4 linked regions of the Arabidopsis thaliana genome follow. Each later gene encodes a partner of the first gene's protein in a complex. Each region holds a gene or a part of one and is shown in the gene's direction. Other genes may lie near its edges.

Region 1 (4,783 bases):
GCATTTGCTGTAGGTTGGGATTCTCCTTTTACGCATCTAACAATATCAAGACTTCTTCCAACACAGGTGAATTTGATGATCTTTTGGATAACAACATCTTCAGAGATCCATCTGACACTGTGGACGAGATTGAGCTGACATATCAGAGTGAGATGAACTCTTCACTGCTGGACACCAATGGTTCAATCAAGTCCCAACCGAACCAAAAGCGTCTGGAGATCGAGGAGCTTACTCTTCAGACACCAACAAACGGAACCACATTGGTTCACAACTTATCTGCAGATGTATATGACAAGGATCACCTACTGGTTAGTTCACTTTGACTACTTGTGTTTAAAGCATGTGACTGGTAGATTGGAAGTTACTTAAAAATGCCATTTAACAGATAATGGGTCCTAGTGGGAGTGGAAAAACTTCGCTGCTAAGAGCAATGGCTGGTCTTTGGAGGTCAGGGAAAGGAAAAATCACGTTCTACCTCGATCCTGAGGTAGATTTTACACAGGAGAAATCTGATACTCAGGAAAATTCAGGGAAAAGAGGAGACGTATTGTTCCTTCCACAAAGGCCTTATATGGTTCTGGGATCTTTGCGTCAGCAATTGCTTTATCCTACCTGGAGTGCAACTGTGGAGGAGACGACACCTGGTGGCAGTAATATTGACGGTACTCAGTTTAAATTTGTGTCTAGTAACAACCATTTCTTTCAACTCCATTTAAGTTTATGCAAGCAGATTATAGAACCCAAAAGCAAATCGACTGAAGAAAAAATGCGTTGATTTTGTTAGGTTCACCACCTCTGCTGATTAGAGAGGACGGAAATGAAAAGCCGACAACAGATGATCTGATGCGGACTCTAGAGAAGGTTTGTCTTGGACATATAGCGGATCGCTTTGGTGGTCTTGATTCGATACACGAGTGGTCCAGTGTTCTCTCACTTGGTGAGCAGCAGCGCCTTGCCTTTGCACGGTTATTGCTGTCTCAGCCAAAGCTGGCGCTCCTGGATGAATCCACCAGTGCGTTGGATGAAGCTAATGAGGTACTTGTTGGTTCTCCTCTCATCTATCATTTAGAATAATATCATGTACATGTAGCGTTGAGCCATTAAAATTCCTCTTGATGCCCAGGCGTTCCTGTACCAGCAAATCCAGTCGGCTGGCATTACATATATAAGCATTGGCCACCGCCGGACTTTAACGAAATTCCATAACAAGATCTTACAAATCTCAACGGCAGACCCGAAGAGCAATGAACGTAACTGGCGAATAGAGGACGTGGATGCCCAAGATTCTTTGTACGGTAGATTGAATCAAAAGGAGGTGCCAAGTGAAAGCTGATCAAAACCTGATTGATTACATAAGAGACAGAAGCAGCAGGTAAATCTGCAAACGGGTGTCATGAAACATATAAGAAACATGTTTGGTGTCCATTTTGTATATAATCTACCAGACTTGACGTTGACTGAAGATGCAAGTAAATAGAGAGATTGATACAGATACGAGTGCAACGAAGTTCTGATTAAAAATAACACGCGAGATGAGCTAAAAATTCAAAACCGGCTGAGTATTTATCATAAGCCCAATAAATCTAACGATGGGCCCATTTGAGAAAGCCTGATAGAGTGAGAAAATGTAACACGACTGACTCGACTCAGTCGCTCAAAGTCGAAAAAGAAAGAAGGCGCAAGGAGGATGGTGACGAAAGAATCCATTGAAGTGATAGCTCAGAGCATTGGACTCTCCACTCTTTCTCCGGACGTCTCAGCCGCTCTTGCTCCCGATGTCGAGTATCGCGTCCGAGAGGTCATGCAGGTATATCATCAACTTCAACTTTACTTTTGCCCTCTAATCTCCTCTTTAACTTGTCGTCGCAATCTCCAGGAAGCTATCAAATGCATGCGTCATGCTCGACGCACCACTTTAATGGCTCATGATGTCGATTCTGCTCTTCATTTCAGGAATTTGGAGGTTTCCTCTTCCTCTCTTCTTCTTTTATTTCATACCGTTGACCCTGATTTTGACTTTTTTTTGTATAGCCTACCTCTGGCTCCAAAAGTATGCGGTTCAAGAGAGCTCCTGAGAACAGAGATCTATACTTCTTCGATGACAAAGATGTCGAGCTCAAGAATGTAAGCTTCATTGATTGGCCATGAATGAAGAAGATGGTGAAATGTTGTTTATTGTTATTAAGCTTCCCTTCATGGTCTCTTGTGCAGGTTATCGAAGCTCCTCTACCAAATGCACCTCCTGATGCATCTGTTTTCTCATTGGTTGGCAATTGATGGTATTCAACCTTCCATTCCACAGAATTCTCCTCTCCAAGGTATTTCTTTTGTCTTCTTTTGCATCACCTACTACTTCTCCTTCTAATCCCTCTTCCATGACAATTTGTAGCCATATCTGACCTTAAACGATCGGAATATAAGGACGATGGCTTGGCTGCTAGACAGGTGCTTTCTAAGGACCTTCAGGTTATTTTACTCCCTTCTTTTTTTGGGTCTTTACCTCGCTCTTTGAATGCTATATAATCCTTGCTTGCTCTCGATGCAGATTTACTTTGACAAAGTCACGGAGTGGGCTTTGACTCAATCTGGCTCCACCCTCTTTAGACAAGCACTCGCCAGCTTGGAAATTGATCCTGGACTCCACCCATTAGTTCCCTTTTTCACTTCTTTCATCGCTGAAGAGGTTTGTCTTTGTAATCCAACACTTCTAGTCTTGACTTTTATTCTAACTTGACCACATTTTCACTACTTTTTTTGTGCTTGCAATTTCTCCAGATTGTCAAAAACATGGATAATTATCCAATCTTGTTGGCTTTGATGCGTCTTGCTAGAAGCCTCCTTCATAACCCTCATGTACATATTGAGCCATATGTAAGTTTTGTGCGCACACTTTTTTTTTGTTTTTTTTTGTTTCTCTTCTCCCTTCTCCTCCTTCTGTTGACTTTTAACTTGTTGTATTCTGTTCAGCTGCATCAGTTGATGCCGTCTATTATCACTTGCCTTATTGCCAAGCGCTTAGGAAGAAGGTCATCTGATAATCACTGGGACTTGAGAAACTTCACTGCCAGCACAGTTGCTTCAACGTGCAAAAGGTTAATGTTACATTCTTGCTTTGTGATTTCATGCATCTTATACAACCATATAACTTGCAATCACATTAGTGAACTTTTTACAGGTTTGGACACGTTTATCACAATTTGTTGCCACGTGTCACAAGATCACTGCTTCATACCTTTTTGGACCCAACCAAGGCACTCCCACAACACTATGGGGCAATTCAAGGGATGGTAGCCCTTGGGCTTAATATGGTACTTCCTCTTGATGCTTCTTGATTATCATAACGAAGAGTAGCACTTTAGGTTGTGCGTCTAGAATTTTTACATAAGAAAGCATAAGTTTAAAACTAATAGTAGCATGATCCGACATCCTCGATAAAGTTATTAAACCTGCAATTGAACCTTAAGATATATATCCTTTGGTCGTCCGTAAGTATTTTCTTGCTTTATACCTTTGTCTAGGTTCGCTTTCTTGTTCTCCCAAACCTAGGGCCGTATTTGCTGCTTCTTTTACCTGAAATGGGACTTGAGAAGCAGAAGGAAGAAGCTAAGAGGCATGGGGCTTGGCTTGTTTATGGAGCGTTGATGGTGAGTATGCTTTCTAGTTTGATACAGAAATTAGAAAACTTGTTTGCTTTCAATCTCGTGTTGCAAAACAGGCAGGAGAGCATATAAACTTTAACTTTCCATAGGTGGCAGCTGGTCGATGCCTATATGAACGGCTTAAAACATCTGAGACACTGCTGTCTCCTCCAACTAGCTCTGTCTGGAAGACAAATGGAAAGCTCACCAGCCCCAGGCAAAGTATAAAATCTGGTCTCATTCTTTTTTTTTCTTTTGGCGTTCTAAACACGGAGATACGCGTTCTTAAATAATTTTTTTCTTCGGCCAAGGTAAACGCAAAGCAAGCAGTGACAACTTAACTCATCAACCACCACTGAAGAAGATAGCAGTAGGGGGAATTATACAAATGAGCTCCACACAAATGCAGATGCGCGGAACCACAACAGTCCCTCAACAGTCCCACACAGATGCAGATGCACGGCACCACAATAGTCCCTCAACAATTGCTCCGAAGACTTCAGCTGCTGCAGGCACTGACGTCGACAACTATCTCTTTCCTCTTTTTGAGTATTTTGGTGAGAGCATGCTTATGTTCACCCCCACACATGAGCTCAGTTTCTTCTTGTAATAGATTATTGACATGGTAATTGTATGTACCACAATAAATACATCTATATAATATTTCGAAATGTCTTGGAAATCGTCAACTTTATAGTGGGCATTTTGCGAGAGGTAAAATCAACCAGTGTTAATCTTACATAGACATATGTGTACTCTAATTATAGCTTGGCCTGGACCACAAATACACATCTTTTCCATGCTACTCCCCATCTCCATCTCCATCTCCACTATTAGTTGTGAAGAACGGAGTCAGAAAGTTTTTGTCCAACGCGGTGAATGATGTAGTGCTGCAAAGTTTTGTCAAGTGAGTCCCAAAAAATTGCAAATATCGCTTTTTACTCAGGAAAACATACTAAGCCATTCTCTTATTCTTACGTTTTGTGAAACTCCTTCAGCTTCATCTTGAACCTGCTTCCTGATGATGATGTATCCTCGTCAGATGAAGCTCCAATGCTAAAAGGAGGAGGGACATACTGATGATCGCTCTCTTCAAAGCCCTAACCACGTATCTGGGAGCGTTAGAAAAAGTACATACACAACTT
Region 2 (4,751 bases), on another chromosome or scaffold:
TATAGCCGACTAACCGTACCTACAAATTTTCTGTTTCAAACTTATGCATATCTATATGGGTGCTTATGATACTTCCTATTAAATTTAATAAAATTAGTAAAAATTTCCCTACCATATATCATATTATTATTTTTTCGATCCAAGAAAGTTACTTTTTAAAATAGTTTTCTATTTTGTGACACTTCTAAAATATTATAAGTGTATAGCCATTTTTCCCCAAACAAGGAATAGTCTATCAGTCTATACAGTATACACACGATTTATTTGCAAAGAACCTACATACACAATTTCTCTTCTACCATGTTAGATTTTTAGTACTTGTTTTACTAGATTATGTATTTTTGTTTGTCTATCGGTCTTTTAATTTTCACTTGCTGGAGGTAAATAATGAAGGAAGTAGTTAAAAATTGAGATAACATAGTTGTGTAGAAATTAGAATACAGTGCAGAACTTAAAAGTATGGTTACGATCACATTGACAACAGTCGATATTCCATTGAGATCACATGAACATTGCTTCGTTAGAAATGCTCGTCGATCGCCTGAAGTAAACCGATTTGATTGGCCACCATGTTTTGCCTCTTCCTGATTTCATTGATATATTTTATTTTTCTTTACTATTTTAAACAACAAAAAAATTTAGAATCCGTATTCCAAAAGTAAATTAAATTTTTGCATACAATTTTTCTTTTTCTTTAAAATATCTAGGTTTTAATATAATATTCCATAATTTGATGAAAAGAATTAAAGAGAAAGTTCAAATCAATCCATATAGCTTGTCCTAGCCTATAGCCAAAAATATTCCTATGCCGCGATTGAACAACCGTTTTTTAAAAATCGTCAAATTAAATCAAACCTTTTTCCATGACAATGAGACTTGGATATAGTTTACATTAGATTCTGATTGGCCCCTTTGATATAACTAGGTAAACTAGCTTCTTGAATAAACTGTCTCTTATTTTGGTTTTATACAAAAAAAAAAAAGCTTTTGGAAAATGATTTAAATGTAAATACATAATACGTAGCGTCTAAGAAGCATATTTGAGAAAATATGGATTTATTTATCTGGTATTTATCCATTAATTTACCTACAAATGGAATCCACCATTAACCAAAAACAAACAAACAAATGGAATCCCGTGAAATAAAGTATCATCATATACATATCTCTCTTTTATGTTTTTATGGAGAGAATTAGTCCAATCCTTCTTCACTGAATTTACCACCTGCTTCTCGTAGAATATATAAAACTACCCTTAAGTCTTTTTCTAATGACTATGAGTTGACAAATGAGAAAAACAAAAACTGCTTTTGTTGGTCATTAAATATTCCGTCTAGATGGAGTTAGTGCTTTCATTGTCATATTCTTTGTCTCCCATCAAATTAAAGCTCACTATACAGCAGATTGTACAACACTATACACTAAAGTTACATTTTTGAGATTTTATTGATTGACAATTTCGTTTCGATATTCTTAGATACACTAAACTCAAATATTGATTTTATGGGAAGAGAATAAAAAATGGATTGTGAAAAAGGAAAAAAAAAAACCTAAATTTGGGCCATATGTGAAGAATACTTCCTTAAGTTTGGGCCATAGTTTAAATCAATAGGCCCATTAGTCTATCTAACGATTCTTTCTCAACTCTTAAAAATCTGACCGGCGGAGATGGCTCTGAGTTGGACCAGTCGGAGGATTAGGGTTTCAACGGAGACTCACTAGTCGATCTCCGATCCTTTCTTCTACCCGCCCGAAATCCGTCGAAACTTCTCTTCTTTACCATTGATTTGCCTCGTCTCAGCTCAATTCTCTTCCGTTGCTGCTTCGTTTAGGTTCGCATTATCGCTTACTTTATTGAATTTTTCCTCTATGTCTCTGGTTTCAATTTCAGCTCAATTTTGTCTTTTTTTCGGTTGAATTTTCTCTTGGGTGGTATCGAATTTTGCTCATGAATGCTGTTTCTTGATGAATCAGAGCCCTCTTAGTTTACTTCACGTCGTTCAATTCAAAACTTGGTGTGGTCTTTTGCAACACAAATCAGGAATAGTTCGTTACTTAGAAACAATAATGTCATACGAGAAGACAAATCTGGAACAGAGAATTAGTAAATTGAGCTGGAAAGTTTCAGTAGTCAAAATTCTCGTAAAACTTATTTTGGTATAATTGTGTCATGAGTCATGACATTCTTTCTTAGGTTTCGTACAAGTTTCTAATTTGAGGTAGATACTAGTTCAGAGGTTCTTTATTAATGTTTGATTTTGAAAACCTTTCTTTACTTACAGTTGTTGCTTCGCTTCAGTACTCTGGTGGTGGGAGAGATGAATCACGGCCAACAATCTGGTGAGGCAAAGCATGAAGATGATGCTGCTCTTACAGAGTTCCTTGCTTCTCTGATGGATTATACTCCTACTGTATACTTTCCTTTGTACTAGTTACAACTTTTTCTCGGCTCTACATGACTGAAATTTGGGTATTGATTGAGTTCTGGATTTTTATTTTTCTTTCAGATTCCTGATGATTTAGTGGAGCACTACTTGGCTAAGAGTGGATTTCAGTGCCCCGACGTACGATTGTAGGTATTTCCGACAAGTTATATCTGATACTTACAATGAAAGAGCAGATAAGTTGATATTGAATGGAATCATTGTTGGGTCTTAGAATGGGTGACCAGTAGTTAGATCAATGGCTTGGTTTAAATCATTTTGGATTAAGGTTTTGCCCTGTTTAACATTCCTGTAAAATGGTATGATAAAGAAGTCTATGTTGGACTAGCACTGAAAAAGATTGGCAATTTGAATGTAAACTTCAGAGTTCAGTTTGAATGCGTAGAATAATGAGGGGATTCTTCTCTTTCTATCAAATTGAGTGCTGAATATTGGTATATTTTAGTTTTTGAGTTTTTCACTCCTGTCATAATCTTTTCCTGTATCTATTCTTGCCAATATTCTGTTTTTTTGTTTACTTGTTTGACAGGATAAGGCTAGTTGCTGTGGCTACACAAAAGTTTGTTGCAGATGTTGCCAGTGACGCCCTTCAGTAAGTTTTCATTCTCTTCACAACGAATTATCATACCCTTTTTCATATTTGACTTGTAATTGAGAAAGAGAAGACACTGCCCATTCTGAGTAGATGAGATGAAAAGATGTCTACGCTAGATTTTCCCAGAAGCTAAAAGCATTGATATAAGCTCCTGAATAATAAAAATTGTCAATTATATACAGGCATTGCAAGGCTAGACCAGCACCAGTTGTGAAAGACAAAAAACAGCAAAAGGTAACATCTGACTCCCTTTTGTTTTTTTTCCCTCTGCAAGACTGCAACAAATATGTTTTGGATGATGACATGAATATTAATGTTTCCTTAACAGGATAAGCGTTTGGTATTGACAATGGAAGATCTTTCAAAAGCTTTGCGTGAGGTAAATGCTTCTTCCTCTAAGTTCATGCTTCTGGTATTGTTGTCCCTCAGACCTCCAATGTATGAGAAGAAAATGTAGATGTCTCTTGTTTTTTTTTACTTAAGCTGCAAATTACTCTAAATACACATGGCATGAAACTAATTCAGTATCACAGAATCAACATAAAATGCTTAGAAACATGTTTTAGAGTTAGTGGTTATAATATTGTGTATTGCAGTAGTGTAGGTAGATAGGTAAGGTTTTACAGTCTCGTCTTAACTAGTAGTGGGAAGCTAACTCGTGAGTAAACTCGGTTTGGCAGTATGGTGTGAACGTGAAGCATCCAGAATATTTTGCTGATAGCCCTTCGACTGGAATGGACCCTGCAACAAGGGACGAATAGAAACCAGGAATTCCTCAAAATCTTTGCCTAGTAAGGACGGTCATGTGTCTCAGATCCCTGATTCTCTGTTGTGTTTCAGTTAAAAACAAAACTCACTTGTCTTGCTAGTCCTCAATTACTACATTACATGTATATTCGTTTGTTGTTTGTTCTCTGGTGATTTTTGGGGTTCTACATCACTTATCCACCATTCTTGCAAGTCTCCAAGTCGTGAAAATAAGATAAGTATCCATCCTTGTGATTAACTGGATACTGTAGGATTGAAAAACCACAAAGTATATTTTCCATCTAGCAATGATGAACCTAAGTGCTTCTGATCTAACTTGAAACATTGCCACACTCTGTTGTATACCTTTAGACAATCCCCCTTTGTAACCGCGGCATCTCAATAATAAAGTTACTTTTTGGAATTTAGCAATTGAAAAAAGCTGTTCTGTTTTGTTTTTTCACTTTCTCATGTCCGAATATTCTTTACCTAGAAATACATGAAAGAAGACAACAATCTGAAAAATCTAGTAACCTTTCGTCAGCTTTTACAACGCTACATTGAAGACAAGAACACATTGGTTTTTTCATCACAAAGAAAGTTGAAGATTCTTGAGTTTTTTTCCTCCTGAATTGTTTGAAATGGTGAATCCTCCACTTCAGTCTCCGACCAATCCGCATTTCTTCCAGCCACTACTTCCCGGTTTCGAGTGTCACCTCGTACACACTCTCTCTGTCTCTCTCTGTTTCTGTCTTTCTTTCAGAGTCGGTTTTGTTTTAAATGTTTTGAGGCTGAAAAGTTAAGGTAAGTTTCAAGTTTTTTATATGACATAGGTACTTGTGGTTTCTGAGCACATTCTCCTTATATGTATACAGGACCATAAACGTTGTCTGGAATGATTCTATATGCCGACTTTTTGTCTGTAATATGTAAAGTCTCTGTCCAATTTCTTCTCGCATGACTTA
Region 3 (6,464 bases), about 11 Mb from region 1:
TACCCCCAAAAAAACATCTAGATACTTTCATCACAACTTTGGTCCGCATATTAAAAAGAGTTTTAGAAAAATATAGTAATTATCTAATCGCCACCTTCACTCTTCACACTTTCCTACCACTTGTCACGCAACTTCCTTCTCCACACTCCACCTACTACTATATATTTACACACACTTTCATTACTTCTTCTTCAGCAATTAAACAATTTCTTCACTGCAATTCACAAGCAACCTTCAAACTAAAACTCGAGAGACAAGAAATCCTCAGAATCTTTAACTTAATGGCGCTCGAGGCTCTTACATCACCAAGATTAGCTTCTCCGATTCCTCCTTTGTTCGAAGATTCTTCAGTCTTCCATGGAGTCGAGCACTGGACAAAGGGTAAGCGATCTAAGAGATCAAGATCCGATTTCCACCACCAAAACCTCACTGAGGAAGAGTATCTAGCTTTTTGCCTCATGCTTCTCGCTCGCGACAACCGTCAGCCTCCTCCTCCTCCGGCGGTGGAGAAGTTGAGCTACAAGTGTAGCGTCTGCGACAAGACGTTCTCTTCTTACCAAGCTCTCGGTGGTCACAAGGCAAGCCACCGTAAGAACTTATCACAGACTCTCTCCGGCGGAGGAGATGATCATTCAACCTCGTCGGCGACAACCACATCCGCCGTGACTACTGGAAGTGGGAAATCACACGTTTGCACCATCTGTAACAAGTCTTTTCCTTCCGGTCAAGCTCTCGGCGGACACAAGCGGTGCCACTACGAAGGAAACAACAACATCAACACTAGTAGCGTGTCCAACTCCGAAGGTGCGGGGTCCACTAGCCACGTTAGCAGTAGCCACCGTGGGTTTGACCTCAACATCCCTCCGATCCCTGAATTCTCGATGGTCAACGGAGACGACGAAGTCATGAGCCCTATGCCGGCGAAGAAGCCTCGGTTTGACTTTCCGGTCAAACTTCAACTTTAAGGAAATTTACTTAGACGATAAGATTTCGTTTGTATACTGTTGAGAGTTGTGTAGGAATTTGTTGACTGTACATACCAAATTGGACTTTGACTGATTCCAATTCTTCTTGTTCTTTCATTTTAAAAATTATTAAACCGATTCTTTACCACATATTTTACAAACGCGTTGAGTCTTTTTTTTATCTGAATAAGCATAAAGTGACACCACTACAACTCTGTTTTTGGTTCTGTTTTTTTCAAAAAATTTATAACACAATTAAGCATAATCAAGAACGTTCTAGTTTCTACTACCATCCACATATTGTTCTTTCTTATATTTTGGAAAGCTCTAAGCAAATAAAAAGAGTTGTGATATCTTACGGAAGACTGCCAAAGAAAACTCAACTTTCATTTTTCTTTTACCAAAAGAATACCGTAACTTTCAATTGAAAAAAGCCTTTCTTGACGGGTCGTTTGTTTTCTTTAGTAGCACTGTTTAATTAACGTAGATAATCCCTTCTTTAATTTGGTGAATTATCTACGGGAAGTCCAAAACTCAATGGTCATAAACGTGTATCAAAATTCATCTAAAAGTTAATTAATTTTTTTTTGCAAAAGTCTGATGCTAATATGAATAACTGTTTAAGAACTCCAACATTATATTCAAGAAAAATAAATTTTGATATACAAGAACAAGCCCAGTTACCGAAAAGAAGAACAGAACGGCGCGCAGTGTTTTATCCAAAAGAAACAACTACCGAAAAGAAGATCAACAGAACGGCGCGCAGTGTTTTATCAAAAAGAAAAAACGACACGGTGTTCTCGCAGAATCTCCCTTTATATAAAAACTTGCGGAATTTGGAATCTTATTGGATACAACAAATCGTTTCCTTGAAAATTCCCTCTTCGTTTTGAGCTATTGACGTTTGGTACCGCGAGATTCCTCCATGGATCTCTCCATTGTCAAGCTCCTCGAAGAAGACGAAGAGGTTAGGTTTCGAATTTCCCACTCTCATTTTCATTTCCGTACTGTCTGCGAAAATCCACGCGCTATCTTGTTCTGTGGACGAAGCTCCTAAATGTCGATTCCCGCTAATCGTGTCGTTAGGTTGACTCTAAGCATTCGGAAGATGACTTGCAAATGTTTCAGGACTCTCTGATTCGAGATATTGAAGGTTCGTTTTGGACCCTAAAATTCATATGCGAAACTGTGGAATGTATCAAAACAGGGAAATGCCTTTAGATTTCTTTAGTGATTTAGGTTCACGAGTCGTATTTTTGTGGTTTGTCATGTATCTTCATGTTTCACTTGATGTTAACTGTTGAATGTTGATGGATGCAATTAGATTGTTAGTTCTTGATGATGCTTTAGTGACGGTTAGTCATAGAAAAATATTAGAGCATACTCATAATTGATTTTGGTGCTTGAACTCATGTGCCCCAAGGAAGTAACTTGAAGTCTATAAACAATACTACTGGTAATGAATCAGAAAAACCGCAACCTCGGTATATGAAACTGCAGAAGATGAGTAGCAAAGAGACTCCTTGGGTGGAAAAGACTGTTGACCCTGTGAATCATAATCTTAGATTAGCACGAGTTACTGATTTGCTTCGTACCGTGGTAGACCACCAACCCGGCAAAAAGACGCATTGTCTTAACCTGCATTATAAACTCAAGGTGTGGCTTTACAGTTTACATCCATGAATGAATTGGCACTCTGATCGAAGTTTCTTAATACATTACGTTTCTTTTCATACTTGATTGCAGAGAAAAGAACTTACAATGGAAGAGTTCATGCGACAACTGAGAGATCTTGTAGGTGATCAGATAATCAGATCGGTAATTAGCCAACTGCCTCAGTTAAAACCGGTATTACCCTTTCCATTTTCTTAGCATTTATAAGTACTTTAATGATTTTCATTTAGCAGCCTCCAAGAGAGTTTCTTGTTTTATATGCTTCCTTCTCTGTATATGAACATGTGCTGAGAAAGAAATCTCACTTCTGAACCTTATTAAAAAGGAAATAACATAAAGAATTCTCACTTTAATAGTATAAGCTGAATACTTCTTGTCTTGGAATTGTGGCTTACTGGTTTCAGAATGAACTGTATGTGTAACCAGGGAAATATGGGGATCAAAGTACCTGGACGCTCAAACCATGACAAAGTGTCTAAATCTGCTGGTATAACTTATTTAGTTGATGCCATTTACTTTTGCAATTATCATAGATCATCTTAACTTTCTGGTAGATCTTATCTTATGATTTCCTTGTAGCATACAAAACTAATCCCAGATACAATCATTAACTGCAGAATTCACTGCTCAAGAATCTGATCCTCGTGAAGTTCATGTTAACCAACTGTCTTCTACAACTTCAGGCACCTTAAACAGTTCAACTACTGTGCAGGGATTAAATAAGCATCCCGAGCAACACATGCAGCTTCCATCAAGTTCTTTTCATATGGATACCAAATCTGGAAGTCTTAATCCATACCCAGGGACAAATGTCACTTCTCCTGGTTCATCATCGAGAGCAAAGCTCCCTGATTTCCAGCATAGGGAAAACAATCAGAATGTGGGAATAGCCAGTGTTGGAGGACCAACCAAGTCTACAATAAACATGACGACAGTACCCAAGTTTGAGAGGCCAACTTTTGTAAATGGTCCAAGTAGGGTTCAGGATGGTCCTATATCCGACTTCCCAAAGAACTCATCCTTTCCTCTATATTCTGCTCCTTGGCAAGGATCAGTCACCAAGGACCATACAGTGGGACCTTCTTCATCAGTGATCCATGTGGAGCATAAATTGATTGATCAAAGTTTTGAACAGGCACATAAACCTCGTTATTTGGTGCAGCAAGGCGTGACTAATGTTCCACTGAAACAGAAGAATGCTATTCCAATTAGTTCAAATGATGACTTGGAGAAGCAGTCTTCTAAAATGGGTTTATTCACATCAACCACTTCTGCCAGCTCTGTTTTTCCTTCAATGACAACACAGCTGGACTCTAGCACGATGGTAACTTATAAATTATACTTTCAAAAGACAGATTTCAATTTGGTTGATCTTCTCTTTAAGCTCATAGGGGGACCATTTCTCTTCAACCGATGTTGCATTTGGTTTCGTTTTGCTTATATTTTGGACCACCCTGGCTTCTATTTCTCCTTGTACTGGCTTCGAACTTTGGTTGTGAAGAGTAAATGGACTATCTATCTTACGTGAAAATTATTTGTGTACACTTCAGGTTAATATGCCTGCCCCATCTGAGACCATTCCCAAGATTGCTAATGTTACGGTGACACCCAAAATGCCTTCTGTTGGTCAGAAGAAACCTCTTGAGGCACTAGGTTCTTCGCTGCCACCATCAAGGTAATGAGCTGGCTGGTTTGTGAAAGATGAACTACTTACAGCGTCCATAAATTACTCTTCCTTTTTTCTTTGCTTTTCTGATAATATCCTTTTTACCTTACTAACAATTTAGAATTGCTAAATTGAAGTCTTATGTATTTTTTAATATACAGAAAGAAGCAAAAAATATGTGGGACTTCTTCAGATGAAAGTATTGAAAAGTTTAATGATGTCACTGCAGTCAGTGGCATCAATCTCAGGGTATGTTTACGAGTTGCTACACTTCTCATTTTGAACCTGGATATAGAGAAACAATAAACCAAATTACTTTCTGCATCTGTTCTAGGAAGAGGAAAAACAATTATTAGATTCTGGTCCTAAAAAGAACGATCGTGTTTCTAAAGCATATCGAAGACTTGTGCATGGAGAGGAAGAAAGAACGCTTTTGCAGAAAATTCCACTGCAGAGAAAGCTGACAGAAATTAGTTTGTGTTTCAACTCGTATCTTAGCTGCTTCTTTGGTCCTTACTTGGAATCACTTGGAGAAGAAGTTTATGTATGCTTTCATATATGACAGTGGGAAAAAGTGGTTTAAAGCATATAGACCATGATGTAGAGCGGTGCTTGTCTCTGGTGAGATGTTAACACCTTTTCTTGGAATTATTAGCCTTCAATTTCCTGTTTTTGTTTTCGTTTTTCTCATGGCTTTGCGCATTCAGTGTGTGGAGGAGAGGATGCGAGGACTACTGTTTAATATAATACGAATATCAAAGCAGGTCAGTCTACTTTCTCTTCTCATGCCTCCTTAGATCTTGTTGTACCTAAATCTTTCTGAAGTTACAAGAGCTTTTGCAGCGGACTGATGCAGAGAAGTGTAGAAATCGGACTTTTATCACATCTGATATCCGGAAAGAAATTAATGAAATGAATCAGAAGGTGAAAGAGGAATGGGAAAAGAAACATTCTGGAGAAGAAAAGGTAATGGTTTGTCCTGAGCTTAATATCTATTTGTCTTAGTTATCAGTAGTAATGTCTAGTTTTTTTTTTTTGTATATTCATTGATGTAGAACAAAGAAAATGATACTGAAAAAGAAGACCAACGTTCAAACGAAGTGAAGGTATTTAGAACTTGAGCCAACTACCTAAACCTTTGGAGATATACACATACGTACACTGAAAGAGGTTTATTGATCACAAGTCAGGCAAATAAGAAGGACGAAGATAAAGAGAGAGCCAAGGCTGCAAATGTTGCTGTTCGTGCAGCCGTTGGAGGAGATGATAGGTTTTCAAAATGGAAACTTATGGCTGAAGCACGTCAGAGATCTTCTCCAGGGCCAGGAAGAAACTCCAAGAAACTTTCTGGTAAGATTGGTAATCCCGTTTCTATGATCTGAAAGAGTAAATCTCTCAGTTCTGTTGCTGGTTATTCTTGTGTTTCGTGCTCCTAATTGCATATTCGAACTTTATGTAGGTGGTACACAATTTGGGAAGAACCAAGGTTTACCAAAAGTAGTCCGGTCAATCTCTGTGAAGGATGTGATCGCTGTGGTGGAAAAGGAGCCTCAGATGTCAAGATCGACGCTATTGTATCGCGTATACAATAGAATCTGCTCGGATGTTTGAAACCAAGAAAAGACATAGGACCAATTCTTTATTTTTTTTTGTAGAAAGGTTCTTATTCCATTAAAACTAATGCCATTACAAACTCCTAAACATGATCAAGATGCTAAAGTACATCCTTATTTCTTCTTCCTTTCACTACCTAAAGCAAGCTGCATGTTTTTTCTAGTTTTTGCCTGATCCCTTCGTGCTGACTCCGCCGTGTCCATATCCTCCTCCACCACCACCGCCTCCGCTGCATGAACCTCCGCATCCTCCACCACCACCGCCAATGATGACTCCACCACCAATACCTCCTCCACCACCAATACCTCCTCCACCTGACCCGTATCCTGGACCACCACCTCCGTTGCCTCCATCCCAACCCAAACCACCACCTGAACCATACCCGGCACCTCCACCAAATCCACCACCGATTACAACACCACCACCGCCGCCACCTGGACCGTATCCACCACCACCATATCCCGGGCCTCCACCGCCGTAGCCACCAGCTGTGAGTTCACCCTTAAATCCGGTTACGTGTCGGATACTCTTTCCAATCTCACTGG
Region 4 (4,680 bases), 8.4 Mb from region 1:
AGAAGGTGAAGAAGAGTCGAGATTGAGAAGACCGTAAGTGGTGGAAGTTAGCTTGACGAAATGTTGGCTTAAGGAGGAGCTGGTGAGGTGAGAGAAGCTGCTGTCATCGGTCGGAGTAAGGAGGTTGGAGGAGACGCAACCACCCATCGCCGGAGATTTCGAGGATTAAGCAACGTCGGAGAAAAAATGAATCACGGAGATTGAGTGAAAGAGAGACGGTGAAGTGAGATTAAAGACAAAATAACATAAAACTGCTAATTAGATAAAACTTGTTTATATAAATACAATTTTTCTAAAGTTGGGAAGTGACAATGCACGTGGCTTTGGTGTTCTTTTTAATCCATATTTTTCGTTGAATAAAGAATTCTTTTTTCTTAACAAAATATTTGAGATATTTGTTTTGTTTGATTTTACGTTAATAAAAAAGAGAAAATACAAGGCTTAATTTTAGAACTAGGATTTAGAATCAGGACCACTATTTGGTTGGAGTATAAGGAACAGAAATTGATTTTGATAATTTCGTTAGAAGGAGATAGAGACATTTAACAAGTCAACAAAGTTCATGATGGTTATGGTAAAAATAAAAATAAATTCCTTGTTTAGGTTAAACTAAATAAAGAAAAAATTGCTTGTTGAGGTACATTTGAAAATGTTGAGGTACAATTGTTGAATGGATAATGAATTTTATAAAATCTAATAAGGTAATATTGAATCAATGATTTGGTATGATTATACCATGTTCTTCTTGTATTGGTCGTTGCGATTAAATTTGATGACTAAAAATTAAAGAACGAAATGAGAAATAAATGGCATAATTTATTATAAAATTCGTTGCTGGTTGTTCAAAACTGACAATGGAAGAAAAGCTGGATTATGTTCATTTAGGCCGCTATATTTTTCACGACTCCTACGTTGTTAGATCAATATCTCTATTTTTTCCAACGACACTTCTATTTTTTCAGCGACATCTCCGATCTGTCTATATGGATCATTTTACTTTATTTTTTTTAACGGCTACTGCCGTTTTACTTCGTCATAGTTACCGACGCAGTGGTCCATAAAATAAAAGAACCTATATATTTTCTTAATATCCATTTTTATTCAATCTGGTTTTATTTAATATTAAATTTTTTTATATAATTAAAATCAACATGTTATTGATTTTTATATATGTACAAGGTATGCAATAAAGAGTTTCACATCCGATGTTATTCGATGAAAAAAATAAAACTATCAATTAAACTTGTGTGCCTTAAATTTGGATATTAGAATGTTAGTCGATCGAAAAAATAAAATTAAAGTGATTAAAATATTATTAAAAATTGAAAATTTAAATGTAGAACTATAACAGTTATGTTTTTATAATACTTTTAAAATTCAATTTTCTTTTGCAATTTTGGTAGAAAGATATTTTAAAGAAATATCATAGGTATATATCTATTAAATTCGTAAAATTACCACTGATTAAACAACAACAAAAATTACTTCAGAACCGACTCTATTTCTGCTTAACCACCTCCATACCAAACAACGAAATTGATTTTTCCTGGTTAAGAAATTAGACCCGGACTCAAACTTTATTCGGGTCGGGTTATAAAACTTTTATAAATGCCCTCACAATCTTGTCTTGGTCGCTTCGCAATTTTCTTCTTTTTTTTGTTATTACTTTTTTTTTTCCTCCGATTTGAGAGTTTGCTTACCTCGGAACTTCTCTCCGACATCGTACCGTCTCGTCCGATTGAGCTGGTTTACCTTTCCGGCGAAGCTTACTTGTACCCTCAATTAGGGTTTCAAGAAAGAACCCTCCAATCCAACAATCTCGTATCAGTGAATGGTATCGTATCGTCTTCTTCAATTTTATCCAATGCTTTGATTGCAACTCAGCTTAACTCGAAAATTGATCAATGGGGTTTCGATTTGGTTGTGATTTTAAAGCCAAATTGAGACTCTTTTGATGAAGTTTCAGATAAAGAAGTTAGCTTTTTTTGTTTCCAGGTCCGTTTAGGTTGGCTTGTAATTGTGTAGTTTTTTTTGTTTCTTTTGAAGGTTTTGATTGAGTTTTAATGGTTGGGGATTTGGGAAGGACAATTGCCTTGTCGTCTCCCGATTGTCACCATTGTAGTTAAATCTTTGAATATGGCTGAATCCAATGGCAAGGGTTCCCACAACGAGACTTCCTCAGGTATATATATGTTGCTTTCTTTATCAAAGTTTGTTGCTTTTCTTTTTTCCGGTCCAGTCCATTGTCGACATGATTTCTGAAACTGGAGATGCCCCTGTCTAGCTTATGATTGTTCTACGGTTTTGAATATTTCGGATTAAGTCTCTTTAAGTAGAAAAGGAACAGCCTTGAGTGATTCTGAGTATTGGTTTGTAGGATCTTAATTGACAAAGAGATTGGAAATATTAGGTTGTGGAATTTTGGATTACTACAGTTTGTGAAACTAGAGATGTCCCTGTCTAGCTAGTGTTTGGTGCATTTAGGCTAGCTCATGACCGATTTACGGTTTTGAATATTTTGGATTTCTTTAAGTAGAAAAGGAGCAGTCTTGAGTGATCCTGGACATGTTCTAGGGTATAGTTAAGATTATTTTTTCTAAATTTCTAGAGGGAATTGAGTTTGTAGGATCTTAGATGACGAAGAGAATGGGAATAGTAGTTTCACTAGATGGAGGCTACTGTAGCCTGATAAGATGATGGAGAGGAATCCAATGATTATGTGACCTTGGATTTAGCAGTTTAACAAGAGTGTTAACATGCAATCTTTGTGATTTCTGAATACTCGTGATGATAATCAGTTATCACATGCATTCCCATTTTACACCAATATTTTACATGTCTGCCAAGATTTGTTTGGTGAACACCAATATTTTACATGTCTGCTGCAGATGACGATGATGAATATGAGGACAACAGCAGGGGTTTTAACCTTGGATTCATCTTTGGAAATGTTGATAACTCTGGGGACTTGGACGCTGATTACCTTGATGAGGTAATCTGTTTTACGCTTTCAGTATGATGACCTTGTTGAACACATTATTTTCATTATCGGTCTCAGTTTTTCTGTCTATTCTCTCTGGACTTAGGATATATGTATTTTATTAACTATGAGTTGCAAATTCTCCACCAAGCATACCTGTGCCAATGCTAACATTTAAACTTTTCAGGACGCCAAAGAACATCTTTCTGCATTGGCAGATAAGCTGGGTTCATCTCTACCAGATATAAATGTAACGTTCTACACACTCTTTAATATTTTATCTTCTAAAGTTTATAGACGAGTGAACTGCGAGTCTTTTATGTGGTTTTTAATCCTCTTTTTCTTGTACTGGGATGCCAATAATGGTGTTTCTAAACTCAACAGTTATTGGCAAAATCAGAACGTACAGCAAGTGATCCAGCTGAGCAAGGTGATGTTGTCTGCCAGGGTCGTCTATCTTATGCAGTTTTTATTGTTCATTTAACTTCTAGTTTTCATTCTACCGTTTCTTTAAACCATACTGGAGTAGCTTCTAGGAAACCTGCTAGAAAGTTTTTCTCCCAGTGAATGTTTCCATCACAATGGTCTTGCACTCTTCTTACTTTCGTTGTAGTCATAATCCAATTATTATTGGATTGTTTAAGAAAGTGTCTTGCGTAATTTATATGCATAAACATTTTAACTACTCACGTTTACAATCTTTAAATATGCAACATTCCTGCCCGTAGCATTTACATACTGACACTATTTACACTACCAAATCCTGGTCATCAGCGTCATTGACTGTGGTGATATGTTGTGTAGATTATGATAGAAAAGCTGAGGATGCTGTTGATTATGAGGATATTGATGAAGAGTACGATGGGCCCGAAGTTCAAGTAGTCAGTGAGGAAGATCATCTACTGCCAAAAAAGGAGTATTTTTCGACTGCAGTTGCTTTGGGTAGTTTAAAGTCCAGAGCTTCTGTGTTTGATGATGAAGATTATGACGAGGAAGAAGAACAAGAGGAGGAGCAAGCGCCAGTTGAAAAATCTCTTGAAACTGAAAAGAGGGAACCAGGTTTGCATTTCGAAATTTCCGTTTCTTGAACAAAACAATTATCCCATAGTAAAGTGTACTTTTGTTGTGTTATCTCATCACTCAAATTGGTTTTGTTAAGTCATTCTTCCTGTAATTATACTTGTTGAGCTCAGGCAAATGATTACTTGCAAAGCTGTAGTCTAGTGTGATTTAAGTCCTTGAGAATATAAACTTAACAAGACAAAAAAAATTGCGTTGCAGTTGTCTTAAAGGAAGACAAGGCCTTGGAGTATGAAGAGGAGGCTAGCATCTTGGATAAAGAGGATCATATGGACACCGAAGATGTCCAGGAGGTCAGTTTCCCCTCAAAATAAAGGGAAATTGTGTCTCAAATAACATATTTTTGCTGTGGGATGATTTTGTTATGTTAGTGATCTCATCAAAACATTCAGGAGGAGGTGGATGAGTTATTGGAAGGTACATTGGATGACAAAGGCGCCACCCCACTGCCTACGTTGTATGTGGAAGATGGTATGGTTATCTTACAGTTCTCCGAGATATTTGCTATCCATGAGCCTCCACAGAAACGGGATAGGAGAGAAAATAGATATGTCACTTGTAGAGGTATGTGATCTGGAATGTTCTTCCTCTTTTTGTTTCTTCTCGAACCCTATTGAGTT

What was found.
Region 2: TAF6B (region 1) and TAFII15 share a complex: the UniProt entries of both Arabidopsis thaliana proteins name them as parts of the TFIID complex.
Region 3: TAF6B (region 1) and TAF4B share a complex: the UniProt entries of both Arabidopsis thaliana proteins name them as parts of the TFIID complex.
Region 4: TAF6B (region 1) and HAF01 share a complex: the UniProt entries of both Arabidopsis thaliana proteins name them as parts of the TFIID complex.

Annotation. Positions count from the first base shown.
Region 1 is NC_003070.9:20,288,913-20,293,695, forward strand, and holds TAF6B (TBP-ASSOCIATED FACTOR 6B), read left to right. Parts: upstream 1-1,687; coding exon 1,688-1,807; coding exon of another isoform or gene 1,808-1,876; coding exon 1,877-2,124; intron 2,125-2,211; coding exon 2,212-2,318; intron 2,319-2,389; coding exon 2,390-2,466; intron 2,467-2,545; coding exon 2,546-2,683; intron 2,684-2,775; coding exon 2,776-2,871; intron 2,872-2,967; coding exon 2,968-3,092; intron 3,093-3,175; coding exon 3,176-3,308; intron 3,309-3,518; coding exon 3,519-3,644; intron 3,645-3,748; coding exon 3,749-3,860; intron 3,861-3,949; coding exon 3,950-4,248; downstream 4,249-4,783. Other genes in the region: ABCD2 (ABC transporter family protein), read left to right, coding at 67-308, 386-662, 785-1,035, 1,124-1,333; NHX5 (sodium hydrogen exchanger 5), read right to left, coding at 4,441-4,528, 4,617-4,738. UniProt on the Arabidopsis thaliana protein: TAFs are components of the transcription factor IID (TFIID) complex that is essential for mediating regulation of RNA polymerase transcription. Not redundant with TAF6.
Region 2 is NC_003075.7:15,353,272-15,358,022, reverse strand, and holds TAFII15 (TBP-associated factor II 15), read left to right. Parts: upstream 1-1,591; 5' UTR 1,592-1,832; intron 1,833-1,852; exon of another isoform or gene 1,853-2,219; intron 2,220-2,282; exon of another isoform or gene 2,283-2,299; 5' UTR 2,300-2,318; coding exon 2,319-2,411; intron 2,412-2,507; coding exon 2,508-2,572; intron 2,573-2,973; coding exon 2,974-3,036; intron 3,037-3,221; coding exon 3,222-3,273; intron 3,274-3,367; coding exon 3,368-3,418; intron 3,419-3,719; coding exon 3,720-3,800; 3' UTR 3,801-3,976; coding exon of another isoform or gene 3,977-4,052; 3' UTR 4,053-4,103; coding exon of another isoform or gene 4,104-4,184; 3' UTR 4,185-4,227; downstream 4,228-4,751. Other genes in the region: AT4G31715 (uncharacterized protein), read right to left, coding at 3,977-4,052, 4,104-4,184, 4,321-4,364. UniProt on the Arabidopsis thaliana protein: TAFs are components of the transcription factor IID (TFIID) complex that is essential for mediating regulation of RNA polymerase transcription.
Region 3 is NC_003070.9:9,642,803-9,649,266, reverse strand, and holds TAF4B (TBP-associated factor 4B), read left to right. Parts: upstream 1-1,890; coding exon 1,891-1,932; intron 1,933-1,942; exon of another isoform or gene 1,943-2,051; coding exon 2,052-2,118; exon of another isoform or gene 2,119-2,388; coding exon 2,389-2,621; intron 2,622-2,711; coding exon 2,712-2,813; intron 2,814-3,065; coding exon 3,066-3,126; intron 3,127-3,256; coding exon 3,257-3,963; intron 3,964-4,189; coding exon 4,190-4,314; intron 4,315-4,466; coding exon 4,467-4,554; intron 4,555-4,639; coding exon 4,640-4,778; intron 4,779-4,870; coding exon 4,871-4,926; intron 4,927-5,012; coding exon 5,013-5,069; intron 5,070-5,148; coding exon 5,149-5,271; intron 5,272-5,360; coding exon 5,361-5,411; coding exon of another isoform or gene 5,412-5,426; exon of another isoform or gene 5,427-5,495; coding exon 5,496-5,655; intron 5,656-5,764; coding exon 5,765-5,916; downstream 5,917-6,464. Other genes in the region: STZ (salt tolerance zinc finger), read left to right, coding at 282-965; AT1G27710 (Glycine-rich protein family), read right to left, coding at 6,079-6,464. UniProt on the Arabidopsis thaliana protein: TAFs are components of the transcription factor IID (TFIID) complex that is essential for mediating regulation of RNA polymerase transcription.
Region 4 is NC_003070.9:11,853,718-11,858,397, reverse strand, and holds the start of HAF01 (HAC13 protein (HAC13)), read left to right. Parts: upstream 1-1,632; 5' UTR 1,633-1,834; intron 1,835-2,046; 5' UTR 2,047-2,136; coding exon 2,137-2,182; intron 2,183-2,888; coding exon 2,889-2,992; intron 2,993-3,167; coding exon 3,168-3,230; intron 3,231-3,364; coding exon 3,365-3,410; intron 3,411-3,784; coding exon 3,785-4,039; intron 4,040-4,261; coding exon 4,262-4,353; intron 4,354-4,452; coding exon 4,453-4,624; intron 4,625-4,680. Other genes in the region: AT1G32760 (Glutaredoxin family protein), read right to left, coding at 1-147. UniProt on the Arabidopsis thaliana protein: TAFs are components of the transcription factor IID (TFIID) complex that is essential for mediating regulation of RNA polymerase transcription. Core scaffold of the TFIID complex.